Linked DNA regions of Anolis sagrei. The protein of the gene in region 1 purifies or fractionates together with the protein of each later gene. This does not show direct contact. Links are inferred from orthologs where the notes say so. Each region holds a gene or a part of one and is shown in the gene's direction. Other genes may lie near its edges. The genes, in order: MOB2, STK38 and STK38L.

Region 1 (7,027 bases):
ACCGTGGCCAAGTCAGCCTTCCCAAGGTACGGACGCAGCTGGCGCACAAGTTTTAATTGTGCGAAAGCTCCCCTGACCACCGCTGAAACCTGGGGTTCCACGCTCAGCGATGAATCCAGGAGAACTCCCAGACTGCGTACCTGTGCTTTTAGGGGAAGTGTGACCCCGTCCAGCACAGGCTGTAACCCCGTACCCTGTTCGGTCTTACGACTGACCAGGAGTACCTCTGTCTTGTCTGGATTTAGTTTCAATCTGTTGTCCCTCATCCAGTCCGTGACAGCGGCCAAGCACCAGTTCATGACCTGAACAGCCTCCTTAGTGGCAGGTGGAAAAGAGTGATAGAGTTGGACATCATCTGCATACAGATGACATCGCACCCCAAAACTCCGGATGATCTCTCCCAACGGCTTCATGTATATGTTAAACAACATAGGGGACAGTATTGAGCCCTGCGGGACTCCACAGTGCAATGGCCGAGGAGTCGAGCAGGAGTCCCCTAGTGACACCTTCTGGGAGCGACCCTCGAGAAAGGACCGGAGCCACTGCAAGGCAGTACCCCCAAGACCCATTCCCGTGAGGCGTCCCAGAAGGATACCGTGGTCGACGGTATCGAAGGCCGAAGAGAGGTCCAGCAGAACCAACAGGGTCTCCCTGTCCAGTTCCCAGCGCAGATCATCAACTAAGGCGACCAAGGCTGTCTCAGTACCATGTCCCGGCCTAAAGCCAGACTGTGACGGATCTAGATAGTCCGTGTCCACTAGGAATTCCTGGAGTTGCGAGGCTACCACACGTTCCAGGACTTTGCCCAAGTAGGGGAGATTGGAGACTGGCCAAAAGTTGACGAATTGAGTGGGGTCTAGTGATGTTTTTTTCAACAGCAGTTTGATGACAGCTTGTTTTAAGCTGGCTGGAATCTTGCCTTCCCGAAGGGAGGCATTAACCACCACCTTTACCCACTCTGCCAAACCCCCTTTGGCTTCTTTTAGCAGCCAGGAAGGTCAGGGGTCTAGGATGCATGTGGTAGGCCTCGCCTCTCCCAGAACCCTGATGACCTCGTCGAGTTGAACAGATCGAAACGCATCCAACAAAACTGGACAAGCAGATGCTTGAGTTACATCCTCAGAGACTGCAGTTAATGTGGTGTCAAAGCCCGCGCGGATCAAAGCGACTTCGTCTGCAAAGTACTGAGCAAATGCTTCACAGTGCGCTGCCGAGTTGTCAGGGGACCCACTCAAGGTGGGATTCAACAACCCTCTGACTACTCGGAACAGCTCTGCCGGACGGTTCCTTGCGGATGCAATATTGGCCGAGTAGAAAGCATTTTGCGCGGCCTCTATTGCCGCGTCATACGCCCTTAGATAGAGGCGTAGGCGTGTTCGGTTTGACTCGCTGGGCTCTTTCCTCCACACGCTCTCTAGCCACCTCTTTGTTTGCTTTAGCTCCACCAGCTCCTCGTTCAACCAAGGGGCCGGTTTCGCTCGATGACTTAAGAGGGGGCGCTCTGGAGCAATCGTGTCTACTGCCCTAGTCAACTCCCTATTCCAGTGAGCGACCAGGGCATTGACAGAATCACCATCCAAGGCAGCGGAAACATCCCCAAGAGCCATCAGGAGTCCTTCTGGATCCATAAGCTTCCTGGGGCGGACCATCTTAATGGGTCCACCACCCCTGCGGAGGTTAGAAGTTGCAGCAAGTCTAAACTTGATCAGGTGGTGGTCAGTCCATGGCAAAGGGGAGATTGATAACTCCTCCACACCGCCACCTTTTTTTTCCAGCCCTGACAGAAGACCAAGTCAAGTGTGTGTCCAGCACAGTGGGAAGGGCCAGATATTAATTGGGACAGCCCCATAGTTGCCATGGAAGCCATGAAGTCCTGAGCCGCTCCTGAAAGAGTGGTCTCTGCATGGACATTGAAGTCCCCCAGCACTACAAGCTGCCGGGACTCCAATGCCAGGCCTGAGACCAACTCTGCAAGCTCAGGTAGGGCGGCCGTGGTGCAGCGGGGTGGTCGGTACACCAACAACAGCCCTATTCTGTCCCGGTCTCCTAGCCTCAGGTGGACACATTCAAACAAGGTCGACTGTAAGGCCGGGCCCCTGACCAAGGAGATGGAATCTTTATAGACTATTGCAACTCCGCCTCCCCGCCCCCCGGGTCTCGGTTGGTGTTGCACGGCATAACCTGGTGGGCAAAGCTGAGTGAGATTAACCCCTCCAGCCTCGTCCAACCAGGTCTCCGTGATGCACGCCAGGTCTGCCTTTTCATCCAGGATTAAATCCTGAATGGTTGATGTTTTACCATTGACAGACCTGGCATTCAACAGCACCACCTTTAATCCGGGAGGACCGTCTACCTTGGAACCCAAGTTTACCATGTCGGGAGGACATTTTGGAATTTTTCTTAAGGTTTGCTCACGAATTGGCCGAATTGGTTTTTTAACTCTCCCTTTCCCGTATCTTGATTAGACTCCTGTGCCTGCTTCATCGCAGACTGCTTCTATAGACAAAGTTTTAGTTCCATTTGGTTTTTACTAATTCTATTTTCACTTACTAATTCTGTTTTCACTTATTTCATATTGCATTTTTAAAGTGACTGTGTATATTATTGGTATAAGTAGGACCATATAATTACTCTTCATAGCCAGCCCTGTTTATGGAGAACAAATTTTCTTAGACTTTCCATAGCTTTCCTCTGTTGACAGACCTGGCATGCTTAAAACAGAGAGATGTAGTGGTAATGAAATTATCACTTTGCCTGCATATTAGCAGTATAATGCAAACCCTAATGTAGAGGCAGTATCATACAATAAGCACAAATGTCACCACAAAGGCAGACATAGTATTTCAGGAGGAAATGTATTGTCTGGATTGTGGTGTTGTATGCAAATTACCACCTTACCCACTTGTTTACCCTCATCACTTAAATCAAGGGTTTATAGTGTGCCACTGTTGACTGGCATTATTCGCGGTTTAGAGAAGGGTGAATGCCATGCCTTCTTGAGCTTGCATCCAGTAAAGTGCTTAATAGAAGCCTTGTGGTACAGAGAATTTGGCATGTGTCAGAGATAGTGCTACACCTTCTGGATGAATGCTATGCATAGGTTGGACATGATTCTGAAAAGTCAAAATACTTTCCAATATAAACTAGATTTATTTCAGCTTAATTATTAACTTTGGCATCCACACTGGGTTTGTCATGCCATGAAGGATCATTTCAAACAAAGCATACTTGATTTGAGGCTGGGTGAAATGGAGTATTATGTGAGAGAGTACATTTATTTCAGGCACATCTGGATGATCTACTTTTTTTCTTTGATTCTAAGACTCACTTTTTTCACCAATGTAAACATTTCTAAAAATGGGGTGCATCTTAGAATCATGGTGCTTCCATATATATTCTGTTGGTGATATTTAAATTAGAGTGATTCTTACAATTAATGGTGTCTTAGAATAGAAGAAATATGATAAATACCTCCTGAAAGGAGTATTTGCAAGTGGTATTGGCTGAATTAGTGGCCTTTCTCTTTAATGTGTGTTTTGATCATACTGATCCTCCCCTATACTATTAGACATACCAGATAGCAATACATAAGTGCTTCCTAGTAAAATGTGTGCATATGAAGTGAAGAATCACTAGATGTGGGCCCCCCTGTGTACTTGAATACCCCACAGATCACAGGCGTTTGAGTGTAAAAGAGCTTCCTCCTTGTTTCTGTTCACTCAGTGTCTCTGTAACACTGCACTGCAAACAGGGCACTTGAAAGATGCTTGCTTGTGCCTCACACTACTTCTCTTGTCCTGTTGCACAGTCGGCGCCAGTCTGAAAAGGCCAATTCAAATGCTTCCTTATTGGCATTGGCTCCTCAGCCTTGGCTTTTACTTAGGGTTTGTAAAAAGGAGCAGCTGTTTGTCTTTTCCAGCCGAATTTTTTCCCCTATTTCCTCTGCCGCTCTGTCATTGGCTGAAGGAAAGAGGGAGGGAAGAAGGCAGGGAGGGTTGGAGTGAAGTAAGCTGTGTAAACTCTGTGAATGTAGTTGGACTAGTTTTTTTTTAGAAGGGAAGGAGAGAGATCTGGTAAAGCGACTCAAGTCTGTACTGGCAGTTCCCAATCCCCCCTCTTCTCCTCATTTTCTCTCTCTTTCTCTCTCTCTAACATGGTTGGGGATCATTGTAATCTCAGCGGCGAAAGACCTGTACTTTCTCAAACTCCCAAAACTGGATTAAGCTGCAAAATGGTCCTACAGGCAGTGGGCAAAGTATTAAGGTAACAACCTCTACAAAATATCATCTTGATGGGAGGGTAAGGAGATGAGAGAGAGAGCTTTTGCCACAATCTCATTCTGGAACATTTTTGTCTCTGAAATAATTCGGGTCCATCTGAACCTTGTAGAGATCAGTGGCAAAACTAGCATTGAATTTAAAGATGCAAAATAGCAGTCTTGATCTTCAGAGACAAATGAGTATAGGAGTGGTTTCAGAAAAAATCTTGTTGAAATGACTGTGGGATGTTTAACCTGGGCTTTCGTGAGGATGACAGTAACTTAAATGGATTGATTTATCCAGCATATTCTGTTGCTTAAAATTCAGATTAAAAAAATGAAAGTAGCATGTGTGTAATTTTTCTCCTTGCTTATTCATCATGTATGCTTTTGCTTACTACCCTTGTTTAACATGAGAAAACCAAATTTGCATCATATATCTCAGCTGTGGCTCTTACAGGATAGGAACTCAACTAAATCTGCAATCCTGTTCGCATTTTAGAGTAAGACCCATAATATGTCTTTTCCCTCCCAGTGATGATGTACAGAAATGGCCTGTTATTTTTTTGTTGTTGTTTCAGAGGTTTTGTTCATAAAATTTGAGTTTTATAAGGCTGTTTGAAATTCAGAAGCATGTTGAAAACTCCATGTACGTTTTACGTAATATTAAGATGAGGGGTCAGGCTTCTGACTAGAAAATATACTTATCCATTGTACCTGCAGGATTTTTTCCCCACTGACACAAAATGGAAAATTACCTTTCAACTGGAGTTTTTCTTATTTAAATCACACACTAATTCTTCTTTAAGGTGGTGTTAAACAGAGCTGTTAAAATCTGGTTACTAGTGGGGAAATGCGAAGCACAGAGCTTGTTTTTGGCAAACTTTGGGGAGTTAGTTCCTACTACTAAAGGCTAATAGTTAAAATATTTTGTCAGCATGAAACTGGTAAAGACTTTTATTAATACCTAAACTTAGTACATAAAATACTTGCTTTAGGACAGCTCCTTCCAAACTGTATTTCGATATGGCATAAGTTGTTTTGAATGCTGTTGCACTCTATTACAAATTCATCTCTTCTTTATCCATTCCAACCTGGTCTCTTATTTATTTTATACCCTTTAGGAACAGATTATAAGTCTTACATGTGTGGCTTGAAAGTAATGACTTTCGGAATTCGCTATACTCTCGTATAATGTACTAATATTTCACAGATTAAGTAAACATTTTAATTCTTCTCTCTTCCTCCCACCTATAATATACTTATATGTGGAGAAAACAAATGTTTTTTTCTATGTCCATCAGAATAAATCTATACAGTATTTTCTTCTAAATATCACTTGCCATGACAGCATTGCTTTCTATCTGAAAGTGACCGAACCTGATTGCATATGTAGTATGTATGACTTGGTTGATGGAGAAAACATAGCTGATTAAGCAATGGGAATTTAAGTCATGAGTAAAACACTAATGATATGGCATATGAGTGAGATCACCTCACTGAGAGTTAAATCTAATGCCTGTCTTTGGGGGTGGAGTTGCGGCTTGCCCATCAGCGTAGGCTGAGATCTTCTGCTGAATCAAACTTCAATTAACAAAGAAGAGAAAATGACATCACCATGGAATCATTTTGTCATTTTTGACTGCTGGAACCTTTTTACATATACTATAGGTTCACTTGTTTAAAAGTGAACCTATAGTATATAGGTTCACTTTCAAAATAAATTGCTGAATAAGAATACACTTTCTCTTTTTTCATGAAAAATTGGGACACATTTAGAGTAGTCAATACTTTGAGATGCCTAAGATGCATTAGACTCCATATGGGGTAGAATGGTGAGGTGTTAATGAACGTATAGGATAAAATACGATGAGCTAGGGAAGAGTGCCATGAAGCAAGATAAGAACAGGACTACCAAAAAGCCAAATCCATGTTTGCATGCATACATAGATAAATACATATCTGCCTTGGTTCAGCTTCCTAAAGAACAAATACTTTATTGGTTCAGTTTCCTAAAGAGCAGTAAACCACATTTTTATTCTTAATAGTTGTGAAAGAGTTATTTGGAAGTAAGTAGTGTCATAATTTGTGATTTCCAGTAATAAGTGATAAGACATCAGTGTCATGTATAGCCTCTTGGCTTCCTCCATAACTAGCAGCAATGAAATAAATTCTATGAGGGAAACTTACTTATATGGTATAATGTATGCAAGTTACATTCTTAGCTTTCCTCTCAATACTAGTTTGGTGTAAGATTATTTTGTTGTGTGTTCACCCCATCTCTTACTCCAAATCTCCGAGCAAGGTGAGTGATGAAATCATAGAGGAAGTGAAAGAAATTTGTATGGTTCATTTGTCTTTCCAAAGAAAAAGAAAGGCAAACAAACAGAAAAATGAAGTAAGCATTGAGACAAATCAAAAACTCACATACGAAATGAGTTACTCTTTATGTATTCAGGTACTTACCTGAAGTGCCAGCAAGAAAGGAAATGAGTAATTAAATATGTCCACATCTCTTTATGTAATTATTTTGCTATCAGCAGGACTGATGAATCGAAAATTTAATAGCTCTGTTTAAAAAAGGGGTACAACTGAAAAGGGTGACTAGAAAAGAAGCTTGGAGCAACAAGTAGGATAGACTGCTCAGCAAAAGTAAATAATTCGGTGTTTAAAAAGATAGATGGCAGTGTGTATGGATCTGTTTGGGATAGCAGATAAAGATTGTGAAAACGTACAACTCTTGACATTGCTTTTAAAGGAACTAGACTG
Region 2 (7,135 bases), on another chromosome or scaffold:
CTACAAATGCAGTATTGATATTGCTTTGTTTTCCAGATCAACAGCAATATCAACATTTAACTTCCAATGATGGTGAGAGCTCTGTAAAAATCAACTGTTTAAATGCAGATAGATAGATGGATGGATGGATAGATAGACATCGCATCTCACACAGTGATTTGGCTTAAACAACCGTTCTATTTTCAGTCTCCTGGAATATACAATCGTATATGCTATTTGCATGGACTATATCAAAATGTTGTACTTTTGTTTACTGTAGCCATCTAAATAAAAATAAAGCAAGGCTATATTTCATTACCAGATACATGTGTTTAAAGAAATGGAATGAAAGTTACGGATAAAAACATTCTCAAAAATATTATTGGGTGCCTTTAGCTTTGGCAGTGGAGACAAGATAATGCCTTCCATAGTTATGGACAAATTTCCTGTCATCATCATCTCCTCAGTAATATCAAACTGCAGGTGGATTTAGAATCAGACATGAATTTTTCATCTAAGTGTCACATTTAAGTCCAAAATATTTGTAATTGTTATGATGACTAATTCTAGGAAACTTCAACACAATTCAAATTCTACATCAGGAAGTACAGACATATGGCAGTCTAAGGTCACCAGCATGACTAACATACAGTTCCAAAGAAGTTATAGGAGATAAGGCTTTGCTGAGAAACTGAAAGTCTTTACAGAAACTGTGAAGGAAGTTAAGGAGAGTTATAGTAACTAAGGCCGGTGGCAAGTATCAAAATTTATGTTCATCAGGCACATCCTTCCATTATCTACACAGTCTTTTTGTTATTGCTGCCAATCTGAGAAGATCATCAAGACAGAATTTAGCTACTCCCCCTTTTGGTTCCTGGAATGACAAAGTGTGTTGTACTGAAGTATACATGATTTGTCAGTCTTAATCATATTAGCCTTTGCAGGATAAACAATGAAGATTCCTATAGTACCATATGTAAGCATATGCCAGGTTTATCTCACATACATCAGAGCTTTCCAAACTGTGTGTTGCAACACATTAGTGTGTCCGCTTCAGTGTGTGTGTCATGTGAACAGAATGGGATATGACATGTTATTATCTTACAAACAATATTTTTAAAAATATAAATGAAATGTTTTCATGGTATCTGTTCCCTTACATTTCATTATTACAGAGAGAGAGAGAGAGAGAGAGAGAGAGAGCATGTGTTGGTGTGTGTGTGTGCATCCATATCTCTTATAAGGGGTTGGTTTAATATCTGGTTTGCTAATAGAACTGAATTACTGTGTCACAAAATGATGAATGTCTAAAAAGTGTCTCACCAACATGAAATGCTTGGAAAGCTCCACATTGGATAAATCTGACATATGGTTGTTTCCACAGTACCGTTCATAATGTTTAAATAATGTGGACTACCATCTGATTAAAAACTCTTGAGCATCATAGCTCAAGAGAAGAGAGTTGTGATGGAAAGCTGAATTATCAAAAGATGGTGCAATATTTTCTCTTGCATTGCAATATAATAATAAGAATTGTACTAGCAGAGCTCTGATCCCCCAAGTTTTGAAAAAAATAGGGATTAATTTCTGTATCAAAACAATACTTCTCATTGAATTGTGAAACTTTTCTCCCAGTAAACACACCTAAAATTATTTATGTGATTCTGAAAAAGTAAGTATAATTAAGAGGAAGCAATGATTTTATTATTTTTTATCATTCTTATTAATTTCACTGAAAACAGTGAAAGTAACATGTTAATATTTTAATCTGAGAAAGGTTTTTTTGATTGAAGGTCACATGATCAGGAAATTTCTCTGGATCGTTAGATTCAAGGAAGATAGTAACACATTAAAAACAATACATGCTACAAACAATACAAACAATACAAAGATCATAATAAAACCGTAAGAATAAAAAGCAAGTAAAACAGATTTATTTAATTTAAACATTAAAATACATTAAAAACTACATGGAACCCCTTCAAAAATCTTCAAAACGGAACCATGCAGCATTGGCACCCTAGCTGTCATCAATATGTAAAGAACTGCAATGAAACACAAGTGTATTTACCTGCTTCCAGAAGGAGAGTAAGGATGGAGCCACCGGGACCTTTCTAGGGAGAGATTTCCAAAATCTGGGAGCCATCGCCAAAAAGGCCTCTCCCTTGTTCCCAGGGGCAGGAAGAATATAAAAGAAAATAATTGGGCAACATCCTTAAGAGTAAATGCTCTTTATTTTTGCATGAGCTTTCATGGATACGAACTCATTACTTTGCCTGGAGCACAGAATGATAAGAAATGTCGAGTATAAAACATATTTATAGGATTAAATGTAATAGGATCCAGAAAAATGCAAATTGTGTTGCCCCGGTTTTTCCAAGGGCTGCTTAAAGTGATACAAGATTCAGATACATAATTCTTCTCACTAAGGGATGTGCATCTACACTGTAAAATCAATGCAGTGTGATACCCCTTTAAATTACATTCAAAATATGTGTGTAAGGTTTGCATCAAATTAAGCTTTGCAAGTTCTTTCACCTTGCCTGCTAAAAACTGCTAGTGGCTCACCAAACTACAACTACCAGGATTCCATAGCACTGTGCTAAGGCAGTTAAAAGTGGAGTCAAACTGCATAATTTTACAATGTAAATCAGGCATGAGCAAACTTCGGCCCTCCAGGTGTTTTGGACTTCAACACCCACAATTCCTAACAGCCTACTGGTTGTAAGAAATTGTGGGAGTTGAAGTCCAAAACACCTGGAGGGCCGAATTTTGCCCATTCCTGTTCTAACTATTCTACCTTCCATTCCACCTATTTTGAATTTATTCATTCATTTACATCCCACTTTCTCTCTCCATAAGAAGACTCAAAGTAGCTCAGTCAAAAACATTACAACTTCAAATATACAATAATAAAACAGTATATAATTATATATTGTCAGTACTGTTATATTTAATATATTAGTATTATTACAGTATTATTATATTATTAGTATTATATTGCATTACATTATATTATCAATATTATATAAATACAATATATTATTAGCCTAGCAGAATGTTAGTATTATATATTACTGTATTGCGATATACCACTGTACTGCAAGATTATTAGTAATATTACATGTAATATATAATACACAATTAATATATTATTATATTGTACTATGTTCTTACTTACTTTACTACGAGCCCCTGTGCCAGCAGGACTGAACGTTCGAATCTGGAGAGTGTGCATATGAGTTCTCTCTTTCAGCTCCAGCTACCCATGAGAGGATATGAGAGTAGCCTCCCACAAGGATGATAAAACATCAAAACATCCGGGCGTCCTCAGGGCAAGGTCCTTGCAGACAGCCAATTCTCTCATACCAGAAGCGACTTGCAGTTTCTCAAGTTACTCCAGACAAGACCAAAAAACCCCAACAACAACCTTACTTTACTTACATACTTACTTAGGCGATCCCTCATAGCTTCAGGATGATGGTCCTCCAAATGTGGTGTCTTGGCGGTGGGTCTGTAGGTGGCTGTTTTGACCTGCATGTTCTCCCACAGTGAGGACATTGGTTTCCAGGTGGAAGGCAGTTCCAATCAGGGTTGGCTTGATATGCCTTCCTCTTGGCACGTTTCTCCCTTTCGCCTTCCATTCGTGCCTCTTCAAATTATGCAGCACTGCTGGTCACATCTGCCCTCCAGTTAGAGCACTCAAAGGCTTATGTTATTATACCACAAGATATAATACACTGCCAGTATATTATACTATTAGTATTATATAACATATTGTACTATATCATAAGTAGTAGTATATGTAATATACATTATATTACAACATTATTAATACTATATATATTAGTATTACTACATTACAATGTTATTATTTCGAATTATATGTTACTTCTCATTCTAACTATTATTCTATTCTTCTCATTCTACCTATTACGCGTGGGTACAACCTGCCCACTCTCTCTCTTTCCCACCCAACTTCCTCCTACGTAAACCAAACCCCGTAAAAGTCTACCGAGAAGAGGAGGAGACGGAAAGAGATTGGCGCATGCGCATCGCCGTCCCCGCCCCTTCGGGCCACAAGCGGGGCGGGGATGGGACCCAGGCAGAGGGAGAAGGAGATCCGCCGCGCATGCGCACTGGGCCAGGGCTTCGAGCTCGCGCTTTCCTGGGGCGGGATGAAGAAGAAGAGAGCGAGGGGCTGAAAGAGCAGGCCTGAGGGAGACACTTCCTGCAGTTCCTGGGCTGCTCCGCGCCTCGCCGCCGTCACCCCCTCGCTCTAGGAGGGGCGGGGTCCCCGGTAAGTTGTCCCCACCTCTTCTGCCTTCCAGGGGGTCGCTTTCCCTCACTCTCTCCTCAGACCCCAAAGCTTTTGCCCCTTCAGGCGAGGGGCCCCCTCCTCTCCGTTTCCATGGCAACCTGGCCTAGCTCCTCTGCCTTCGCCTCTGCTCGTGTTTCCCCTCATTTTCTGTGCGGAGCGTGGCCTCTCCCAACTCTTTCCTTTCCTCCTCTCCCCCCCCCCCCTCCTCAACACCTGCTTGGGTCTTCTCACAACTTTTTGGGATGGTTCATACTGGGTTCCCAATGATGCATAACTACCTAAATTAAACTTTCAAGTTCCTATAGTTGTTACAGGTGGAATATTGGACTATCCCTCTTATGAAAGGGACAGAAGTGTGTAGGATTTTAGGGTCCCCCCCCCCCCTTTCATTCCTATTTTGAAATACTTACATAGGGTAATGAGATAGCTTGAAGATGGGACTCCAGCATAAAACTCCCAACATAAAATTTATCCCCCTACCAACCCCAGAGATTACCTCGGTCCAAGGACCAAAATTTGCTTGAAGTCCCCAACATCCGGACTTATCATCTGTCCTCTACTAGGCAGAGAGCCTTCTCGATTGTGGCCCCTTATTTATGGAATGCCTTGCCAGTTGAAACCCGAACCATCCGAGAGCTACTTGCTTTTCGGAAAGCCTGTAAAGCCTTTCTTTTCCGACAAGCTTTCGATGGGTGAATAACTCGGGACTATGTCTGTTTCGCGTTTTTATTGTATTTTAAAGTTGGTTGTATTGTTTTAATCTACTGCTACAGCAGTAGATTAAAACAATACAACCAACTTTAACCAACCACTCCGAGCCAAATTGGGAGTGGCGGTATACAAGCCAAATAAATAAATAAATAAATATACACCTTATACCAGGCATGGGCAAAGTTTGCCCCTCCAGCTTGCTTCATCTTCAATGTGACATCCTTTCATGGCTATATCACAGACATGGGCAAACTTGGGCCCTCCTCCAAGTGTTTTGGACTTCAACTGCCACAATTCCTAACAGCCACAGGCCCCTACCTTTTCCCCCTCTGCCGCTTAAGGAAGGGGGCTGAGGCTGTTAGGAATTGTGGGAGTTGAAGTCCAAAACATTTGGAGGAGGGCCCAAGTTTGCCCATGCCTGCCTTATACACACATTCAGATTGAATAAAACCCATATGAAATACTTAGGGCAGGGGTCCTCAGACTAAGGCCCGGATATGGCCCTCCAAGGTCATTTACCTGGCCCTCGTTCAGGGTTAGCCTAAGTCTGAAACAACTTGAAAGCATACAACAACAATCCTATCTCATCAACCAAAAGCAGGCCCACACTTCTCATTGAAATACTAATAAGTTTATATTTGTTAAAATTGTTCATCATTTTAATTATTGTACTGTTTTTAAGTGTTATTGCACTACAAATAAAATATGTGCAGTGTGCATAGGAATTCATTCTTTTTTCCCCCCAAATTATAATCTGGCCCTCCAACAGTTTGAAGGACTGTGACCTGGCCCTCTGTTTAAAAAGTTTGATGACCCCTGACTTAGGGTCAGAAGACTGGTTTTGGAATGCAGGCAGTCTCCAAGTTACAAACAAGATAGGTTCTGTAGGTTTGTTATTAAGTTGAATTTGCATGTTAGTTGGAACAGGTACATTTCGTAAGTGTGATAATAATATAATGCTTTATTTATATTCTGCCCCTTTTCACCAAGGGGACTCAGGGAAGCTTAATAAACTTATAATAATAAACTTAATTTATGGGTTGTTGTAGGTTTTTCGGGCTGTATGGCCATTTTCTAGAAGCATTCTCTCCTGGCGTTTTGCCTGCATCTATGGCAAGCATCCTCAGAGGTTGTGAGGTCTGTGGTTGTGCAGGCAAAATGTCAAGAGAGAATGCTTCTAGAACATGGCCATATAGCCCAAAAAACCTACAACAACACAGTGATTCTGGCCATGAAAGCCTTCGACAATACATTTAACTCAATTTATATCCCATCCCCTCTTCACAATGATTCAGAGCGGCTCACAACAGTATCAAGTCACATTACATACATACACAGAAACCAAAAAGACAAGAATGTAACCAGCAAGAGGAAACAATGTACATAATAGCAGTCACACTTACAATCCAAAAAGGGTGAAATCAAACAAACAAATAAAGACAAATAAAAACTGTACCTCTCTATATATATATGAGTGAGGCGAAGTCTTCTGAACAGGTCACAGCAAAACAAACAGCACAGGGTTGTTAACTCCTCATCCCTATGCTATCCAAGCATATGTAGATCGATAGATAACTTGGGTAGCAATACCTAATAAAATACCTTTGAGGTGGAACCCTACTCTAAACATTGGATTCATTTATTGGATTCATATACACCTTATATGCATAGCCTGAAAGTGTTTTATACACAGTGTTTTTAATAATTTTGTGCATGAAGCAAAATTTGGTTACATTGAACAATTGAAAAGTAAATGTATCACTGTCTCAGCCACCATATGGACACTTCTGGAAGTCTGAATAAAGGGTGCTCAACCTGTAAGATCGCATTCATGATTTTTCCTCTACTCTTGAGAATAATGATTTTTTGGAGGGAATAAACTCCCAATGTGCTTAAGATAGCAGGCTCCTGTGTGCCTTGTTAGCCAGCATGCATAGTAGAAAACTCTGCTTCCTGCTCACCAAATGACATCATTTAATTCTGTTTCATCGTTATTATCAGAAACAGAAACTTTTAGCTGTTGAAAAGGATCTATGGTTTCTTTGAATCACAAAAAGAAATTGTACTATGCGATGTATTTTTTTCAGAAAGGAATGGACCCTTTTTAAATTATTGGATTCAAGG
Region 3 (7,488 bases), on another chromosome or scaffold:
TCTTTGTAGTAGCCCCTCGGCTCTGGAATTTGCTCCCGGAGATATTAGGCAAGCCCCCACCCTGGCAATCTTTAGGAAGAGCCTGAAAACTTGGTTGTTCCAGTGTGCCTTCAATGACTGAATAAACATTAACTCCTGACCAAACTCTGCATAAAATGCCCTTTAAAAAAGGTAAAGGTAGTCCCCTGACATTAAGTCCAGTCATGTCTGACTCTGGGGTGTGGTGCTCATCTCCATTTCTAAGCCGAAGAGCCAGCGTTGTCCGTAGACACCTCCAAGGTCATGTGGCCGGCAAGAAGCACTTTATTTTCTGGTACGTGCAATTCAATCTTGCCTTATCCCCCAGATCCCCTGTCCTGATATATTACATTGCCCTATCACTCAGTGGTTTTAAAATTTTAATCTTTGAAACTAGCCCTGCCCACTGTGATCATTTTTAGTGTTTAATGTTCTGATTTTATAGTGTTGTGCTGTTATGCATATTGGTTTTGTAATTGATGTCACTTTATTTTTTATTTTTGTTGTGTTTTTGTGTTGTACTGTGTTATTATACTGATGGGCATGGCCTTATGTAAGCCACCCAGAGTCCCCTTGGGGAGATAGTGGCGGGGTATAAATAAAGTTTAATAATAAAAATAAAAATGGTGGTCCATGGATACTAGGGTTTCCACCTAGGGAACTGGGGCACCCACAGGGGTGGGGGTTGGTGAAAGGGTTTCAGGGAGATTCAAGGATGGTTAGAATGGGGGGGGGGGGAGGGGAGGGAGAGAATAGGCCCATTCTGTAGAGCTGTATCATAGCTGGTTAATCGCCAGCAGCAATAGGTTACTGCCAACTGGGAAGTGGCAAGTTTGAAGCCCGAGTCGGATTGAACTCCCAACTGTTAAGCCTACTTAGTGTCCACCTAAGCAGTTTGAAAACAGCTGAGCCGTGTGTAGAGAAATTAGGTAACACTTAAAGCGGGGAGGTGTTTTATGGCACCATAAAAATGCCGGCAATCAAAGAACAAGGAGGAAATATGATCAAAATGACTTTGCATTATAGTGGATGAAGCGACAGCACACTGCTGCCATCCCACAGCCGGAATCAAGCATAACCTCAAGGAACTGAAGTTGGAAATGCCAAAATACCTCTATCTGTCTGTCTTGTATGTCTAAAAATGGCATAGAATGATTGCTGTGTATGTGTGCATTGTGATCTGCCCTTAGTCCCTTTTGGGGTGAGAAGGACGGAGTATAAATACTGTAAATAAATAAAGACATTTTGAGGGCAATGGAGGGCTGTGGGGGGCACTTGGGTCATGAGGCACAAGCAGCCACCAGGCTGGGTGAAAACAAGAGAAAAGAACTCAAAGAGATTAAAAGAGATACAGAGAAGTAAAAGTAAAGGGTAACCATGTTTATTTAGGGGTTAGAAACACTACAACTAATAATAAAGGGGAAGATTGCTGTCAAAAATATCCAAACCTGCTGGGCTCCTCTAGTCTGTTGATTGTCCGCAAAATGGGAGTTTAAAAATAAGCACATTGCAAATAAGTTGATTTTCTTACTATTGGCTTTCTTCAAAGTTCAGCTTTCACAGAAATGTACATAGAAATGAGAACCATAACCGAATGGACAATTACAAATGTACTATTCAATGATATATTTTTACGTCTTGTTGAGTTCCATTATAGATTCCTTCTGAGAGTGCATCTACACTGTAGAATTAATGCGGTTTGCCACCATTTTAACTGCAATGACTCGATGCTATGGAATTCTGGGAACTGTAGTTGCAGAAGCTCAATAGTGTAGCTCAATTTGGCACCAATTTAAGTGCTATGATTCAATGCTATGGAATTCTGGGAGCTATAGTTATGCAAGCTGTAGAGCAAGGGTGTCCAAACTTTTGATGAGTGCCAGTTCATGGTTCCTCAGCTTGTTGGGAGGGGGCAGTCTGAAAAAAGCATGAACACATTCATATGCACACTGCATATGTCTCAATTGTGGTGCAGCTGGCTGAGTGTCAGCTGCATTAAGATCACTCTGACCAAAAAGGTCATGAGTTCAAAGCCAGCCCGGGTTGGAGTGGGTTTCCAACCAATTGTGTGTAGCCTGTTGTTGACCTTTGCAACCCGAAAGACAGTTGCATCTGTCAAGTAGGAAAATAAGGTACCACCTTAAAGTGTGGGGAGGCTAAATTAACTGATTTGTGAGGCCATAAAGAAGACTCCAGCAAAGCATTCCAGTGGGAAAGCATGCAGGGAATGCAGAAGTGCTTCATCAGCATCGCAGATGGATGATGAAAGTGATAGCTCCCCTGGCGGCCAGAAAAAGTTAAATAGCCTCTGTCTATGTCTGTATATCTTTGTATGTCAAAAATTGGCATTGAATGTTTGCCATATATGTGTACACTATAATCCGCCCTGAGTCCCCTGCGGGGTGAGAAGGGCGGAATAGAAAAGCTGCAAATAAATAAATAAATAAATAAATAGTGCAAAAATAACCATGAAAGAACGATCTATATATTATCTATATATATTTAATATATATATTTAAAAGTCAGTGTTCATATGTATGTTTGGATGTGGCAGCTTTCTGATTGGCTGCCACTTCCACAGACCACTGCAACTCCCACATATGATGGACCTGGACCAAACTTGGCACACATAAACCCCATGAGAGAGAAAAGAAGTGAAGAAGGAAAAAAGCAAGGGAGGGAGGCCTTGGAGAGGGCAGGTGGAAATTTGAACAGGGGTCACAATTAGCCTCTGGGCCAGACTTTGGACATGCCTGCTCTAGAGCTTGATCTGCCAAAGAGGGCTGATGCCTCTCCAAACTACATCTACCATTTTTTTGGTCATGTAAGAAGCGACTTGAGAAACTGCAAGTCACTTCTGGTGTGAGAGAATTGGCCATCTGCAAGGACATTGCCCAGGGGATGCCTGGATGTTTTGATGTTTTATCATCCTTGTGGGAGGCTTCTTTCATGTCCCCACATGAGGAGCTGGAGTTGATTTAAAAGCTTCCAAAGAAGGAGCCTCCACCACATTCTGGGGCAGAGAGTTCCACTGCTGAACGGCTCTCACAGTCAGGAAGTTATTCCTCATGTTCAGATGGAATCTCTTCTCTTGTAGTTTGAAGCCATTGTTTCGTGTCCTAGTCTCCAAGGAAGCAGAAAACAAGCTTGCTCCCTCCTCCCTGTGGCTTCCTCTCACATATTTATACATGGCTATCATATCTCCTCTCAGCCTTCTCTTCTTCAGGCTAAACATGCCCAGCTCCTTAAGCCAAGCCGTTTTCAAGGGCAGCCCCACGTAGAGCGCATCACAGTAGTCCAATCTAGAGGTGACCAAGGCATGGACCACCCCGGCCAGATCAGCCTTCACGAGGTACAGTCGCGGTTGGCACACGAGTCTCAATTGTGCAAAAGCCCTCCCGGATACCGCTGAGCCTCAAGCGTAAGTGATGAATCCAATAGGACTCCCAAACTGCGGACCTGTGGCTTTAGGGGGTGTGTAACCCCGTCCATGAGGTCTCTTCCAACTCTTTGGAAGCCTGAAGAAGAGAAGGCTGAGAGAAGATATGATAGCCATGTATAAATATGTGAGAGGAAGCCACAGGGAGGAGGGAGCAAGCTTGTTTTCTGCTTCCTTGGAGACTAGGACGCGGAACAATGGCTTCAAACTATAAGAGAGGAGATTCCATCTGAACATTAAGAAGAACTTCCTGTGAGAGCCGTTCAGCAGTGGAACTCTCTGCTCCGGAGTGTGGTGGAGGCTCCTTCTTTGGAAGCTTTTAAACAGAGGCTGGATGGCCATCTGTCAGGGGTGATTTGAATGCAATATTCCTGCTTCTTGGCAGGGGGTTGGACTGGATGGCTCATGAGGTCTCTCCCAACTCTTTGAGTCTAAGTGTCTGGACTGACCTTGAAGGAGCTGAGGGTGGTGACGGCCGACAGGGAGCTCTGGCGTGGGCTAGTCCATGAGGTCACGAAGAGTCGGAGATGACTGAACGAATGAATAACAACAGATATTATTCTCTCACACACACAGATATAGTATCATAGATTTTAAAGAGACCCATAAAGAAGGATTATGATATGTTGCAGATTCCAGAGCAGGCAAACCAGACACTCTCCACATCAACACTGGCAAAGAAACAGCAAGAAATACTGTTTACCCACAAGTATAAAGAAATTACGTATATTAGAAACCAACACTTTCTCATTACTTTATTTTCCAGATCACCAGACTGGGCCACAGCAACGCGTGGCAGGGGACAGCTAGTACCGGGCCTTTCTCCTCCTCTCAAGGTACTCAGATGAACTTCGGCGCGAGCACTCAGCCCGCCCACTTTCTAAGCCTCTCCACGTGGGCAGCCTCTTCGCCACGCCCCATTCTTCCCAGGAGCCAATCACCAGCGGTGGCGCCTCTCTCCTGCTTCCCCTTTCTCGCGCCGGGTCTCCACGCTCTCGCGAGAGTGTGTTAGTAAACAGTTCGACCCCGCAGCCTCATTCTAGGCGCCGGAGAGGGAGCCGGGCGAGAGGGAGAAGCGGCTGAAGGTAAGGTCTTCGGGGAAGGAGGAATGGGGAAGGAATGACGGAGCGGAGGCCCTCAGGCTCCCTCAGAGAAGGAAGGAAAGGGGGTCGGCCTGACTGGGGTCATCCTTGTGTCACGCCTCCTGAGGGAAGTCACCCTCCTGGCCTCACACCACAGACTCGCAGTGGGCCAGCCTGAAGGGAGGAGTCCCAAGCCAAGGAGAAAAGGACGGGGAAGAATCCTGCATAATATCTATCATATGAAGAATCCTCTGCGTGTTTGAAATTACATTTCACCCTGTATTCCGTTTCTCTCCTTATGCTGAAGGAATGTATGGACATAATAGTAGTAATAATAATAGTACTGACAATAGGTGCTCTCTTGGCAGTGCAGCCTGAATGGCAAAGGCTCAGGGAATGGCCGCCTCCTCCCCCTACCTGGGGAAGGGATTGCTTTGAGCCACCCATCTGCCTCCCAGGCCCAGGGAGATTAGCTGGGAAGCTGCTCCTTGAACCGGTTTTTTCAAAGCCTCCTACCCTGGCAGGAAAGGTGGTTCTTGGACGAGAGCCGGAAGTGCTTTGCAGCCCCACACATGCACCAAGTCACCTTCAGGTTGGACCCCAAAGCCTCGTGGTTTCACAGCATCCGTGGGGTTGGGTTTCAAGTGCATGTGCACATTCAAACCTCTGGTGCAGTCTCAAAATACACAGTTGTAATGAAATGCTCCACTCTCAATGGGTTGTCTTTGATTTGAATTGGGCAATCAAAGAGGCATCTGGTTGACCTGTGTGAAAGTTAAGACCAACAACCACCATGTCAGACTACACAGAGAAGCCATTGAAATCCACAAGCATGTGGACAATTTCAACAGAAAGGAAGAGACCATGAAAATGAACAAAATCTGGCTACCAGTATTAAAAAACTCTAAAATTATAACAGCTAAACAACAGAGAGGAAAAAACCAGGCACAGATTAACACCTCCCAGCAACAGATTTTCCCAGGCTCAGGAAGGCCTTCAAATGCTAATGAAGGTGATCAGCTAAACATTCACACCTAACTGCAGCAGGGAAGAGCTCCTTGCCCCACCCCAGCCATTCCACAGATATATAAACCCATTTTTCCTACTTCCAACAGACCTCACAACCTCTGAGGATGCTTGCCATGGATGCGGGCGAAACGTCAGGAGAAATGCCTCTAGAACATGGCTCTATAGCCCCAAAAAACCCACAAGAACCTAGTGATTCCAGCCATGAAAGCCTTCGACAATACATTAAGACCTATGTCTTTAAGGCAGTGGTTTGTTTGTTTATTTATTTACTGCGCTTATATACCGCAATTCTCAGCCCAAGGGCGACTCATTGCGGTGTACAACATGAAAAAACAAGTGCAATCTACAAAGCATAGTGCAAAACATTCCACAATTCATCATAATCATAAAAAACATCTTATCAAAACAACATTACTACAAAATTACTACTACATTCCGAATCGTCTCATTGTCAGACCACAATCCGATATCATTTCCGTTGTTCCATTCCTATGGTCAATTGCCAGTCATTGCACTTCTTGATCAAATGCCTTCTTAAATAGCCAGGTCTTTAACTTCCTGCGGAATATTAGCAGGGAGGGGGCTAGCCTGATGTCCACAGGAAGGGTGTTCCACAGCCAAGGAGCCACCACCGAGAAGGCCCTCTCTCTCGGCCCCGCCAGCCGTGCCTGTGACGCAGGCGGGATCGAGAGCAGGGCCTCCCCGGAAGATCTCAAGGTCCTTGTGGGCTCATAGGCCGAGAGGCGGTCAGTTAGGTATTTTGGGCCGGAACCATTTAGGGCTTTATAGGCCAACACCAGCACCTTGAATTGAGGCCGGTAGCAGATCGGCAGCCAGTGGAGCTGGTACAGCAGGGGGGTTGTATGCTCCCTACGTCCCGCTCTACGACCCCAGGTTGGTTCTCAACCTGGGGTCCCCAGATGTTTTTGGCCTTCAACTCCCAGAAATCCTAATAGCTGGTAAACTGCCTGGGATTTCTGGGAGTTGTAGGCCAAAAACAGCTGGGGACCCCAGGTTGAGAACCACTGCTTTAAGGAGTTTATGAATTACTAGCCGTCCCCTGCCACACGTTGCTGTGGCCCACATGGGGGTTCTGTGTGGGAGGTTTGGCCCAATTCTATCGTTGGTGGGGTTCAGAATGCTCTGTGATTGTAGGTGAACTATAAATCCCAGCAACTACAACTCCCAAATGTCAAGATTCTATTTCCCCCAAACTCCACCAGTGTTCACATTTGGGCATATTAAGTATTTGTGTAGAGTTTGGTCCAGACTCATCATTGTTTGAGTCCACAGTGATCTCTGGATGTAGGTGAACTACAACTCCAAAACCAAAGGACACTGCCCACCAAACCCTTCCAGTATTTTCTGTTGGCCATGGGAGTACTGTGTGCCAAGTGTGGTTCATTTTGGTTCATTTCAATCGTTGGTGAGGCTGAGAATGCTCTTTGATTGTAGATGAACTATAAATCCCAGTAAGTATAACTCCCAAATGACAAAATCAATTTTTTTTAGTGAAGGACATCCATTGGGCTGTTAGGTGTCTTGTGTCCAAATTTGGTGTCAATTCGTCCAGTGGTTTTTGAGTTTTGTGAATACCACAAACGAACATTACATTTTTATTTATATAGATCAGGGGTCCTCAAACTAAGGCCCAGGGGCCAGATGCAGCTCTCCAAGGTAATTTACCCGGCTCTTGCTCAGGGTCAACCTAAGTCTGAAACAACTTGAAAGCACACAACAATAACAACAATCCTATCTCATCAGCCAAAAGCAGGCCCACACTTCCAATTGAAATACTAATAATTTTATATTTGTTAAAATTGTTCTTCATTTTAATTATTTTTAAGTGTGTTTTTTTTGCACTACAAATAAGATATGTGCAATATGCGTAGGAGTTCATTCATGTTTGTTTCAAATTAT

The links.
Region 2: the proteins of MOB2 (region 1) and STK38 purify together in Homo sapiens (affinity purification with mass spectrometry; 7 studies listed by BioGRID and IntAct, with this or other methods). This does not show direct contact. The link is inferred for Anolis sagrei from reciprocal best matches to the Homo sapiens genes MOB2 and STK38.
Region 3: the proteins of MOB2 (region 1) and STK38L purify together in Homo sapiens (affinity purification with mass spectrometry; 9 studies listed by BioGRID and IntAct, counting the BioPlex papers as one, with this or other methods). This does not show direct contact. The link is inferred for Anolis sagrei from reciprocal best matches to the Homo sapiens genes MOB2 and STK38L.

What each region holds. Positions count from the first base shown.
Region 1 is NC_090021.1:243,704,661-243,711,687, reverse strand, and holds the start of MOB2 (MOB kinase activator 2), read left to right. Parts: upstream 1-4,026; 5' UTR 4,027-4,153; coding exon 4,154-4,263; intron 4,264-7,027. UniProt on the Homo sapiens protein: Stimulates the autophosphorylation and kinase activity of STK38 and STK38L.
Region 2 is NC_090024.1:187,272,170-187,279,304, forward strand, and holds the start of STK38 (serine/threonine-protein kinase 38), read left to right. Parts: upstream 1-4,068; 5' UTR 4,069-4,279; intron 4,280-7,135. UniProt on the Homo sapiens protein: Serine/threonine-protein kinase that acts as a negative regulator of MAP3K1/2 signaling. Converts MAP3K2 from its phosphorylated form to its non-phosphorylated form and inhibits autophosphorylation of MAP3K2.
Region 3 is NC_090025.1:91,934,940-91,942,427, forward strand, and holds the start of STK38L (serine/threonine-protein kinase 38-like), read left to right. Parts: upstream 1-4,435; 5' UTR 4,436-4,542; intron 4,543-7,488. UniProt on the Homo sapiens protein: Involved in the regulation of structural processes in differentiating and mature neuronal cells.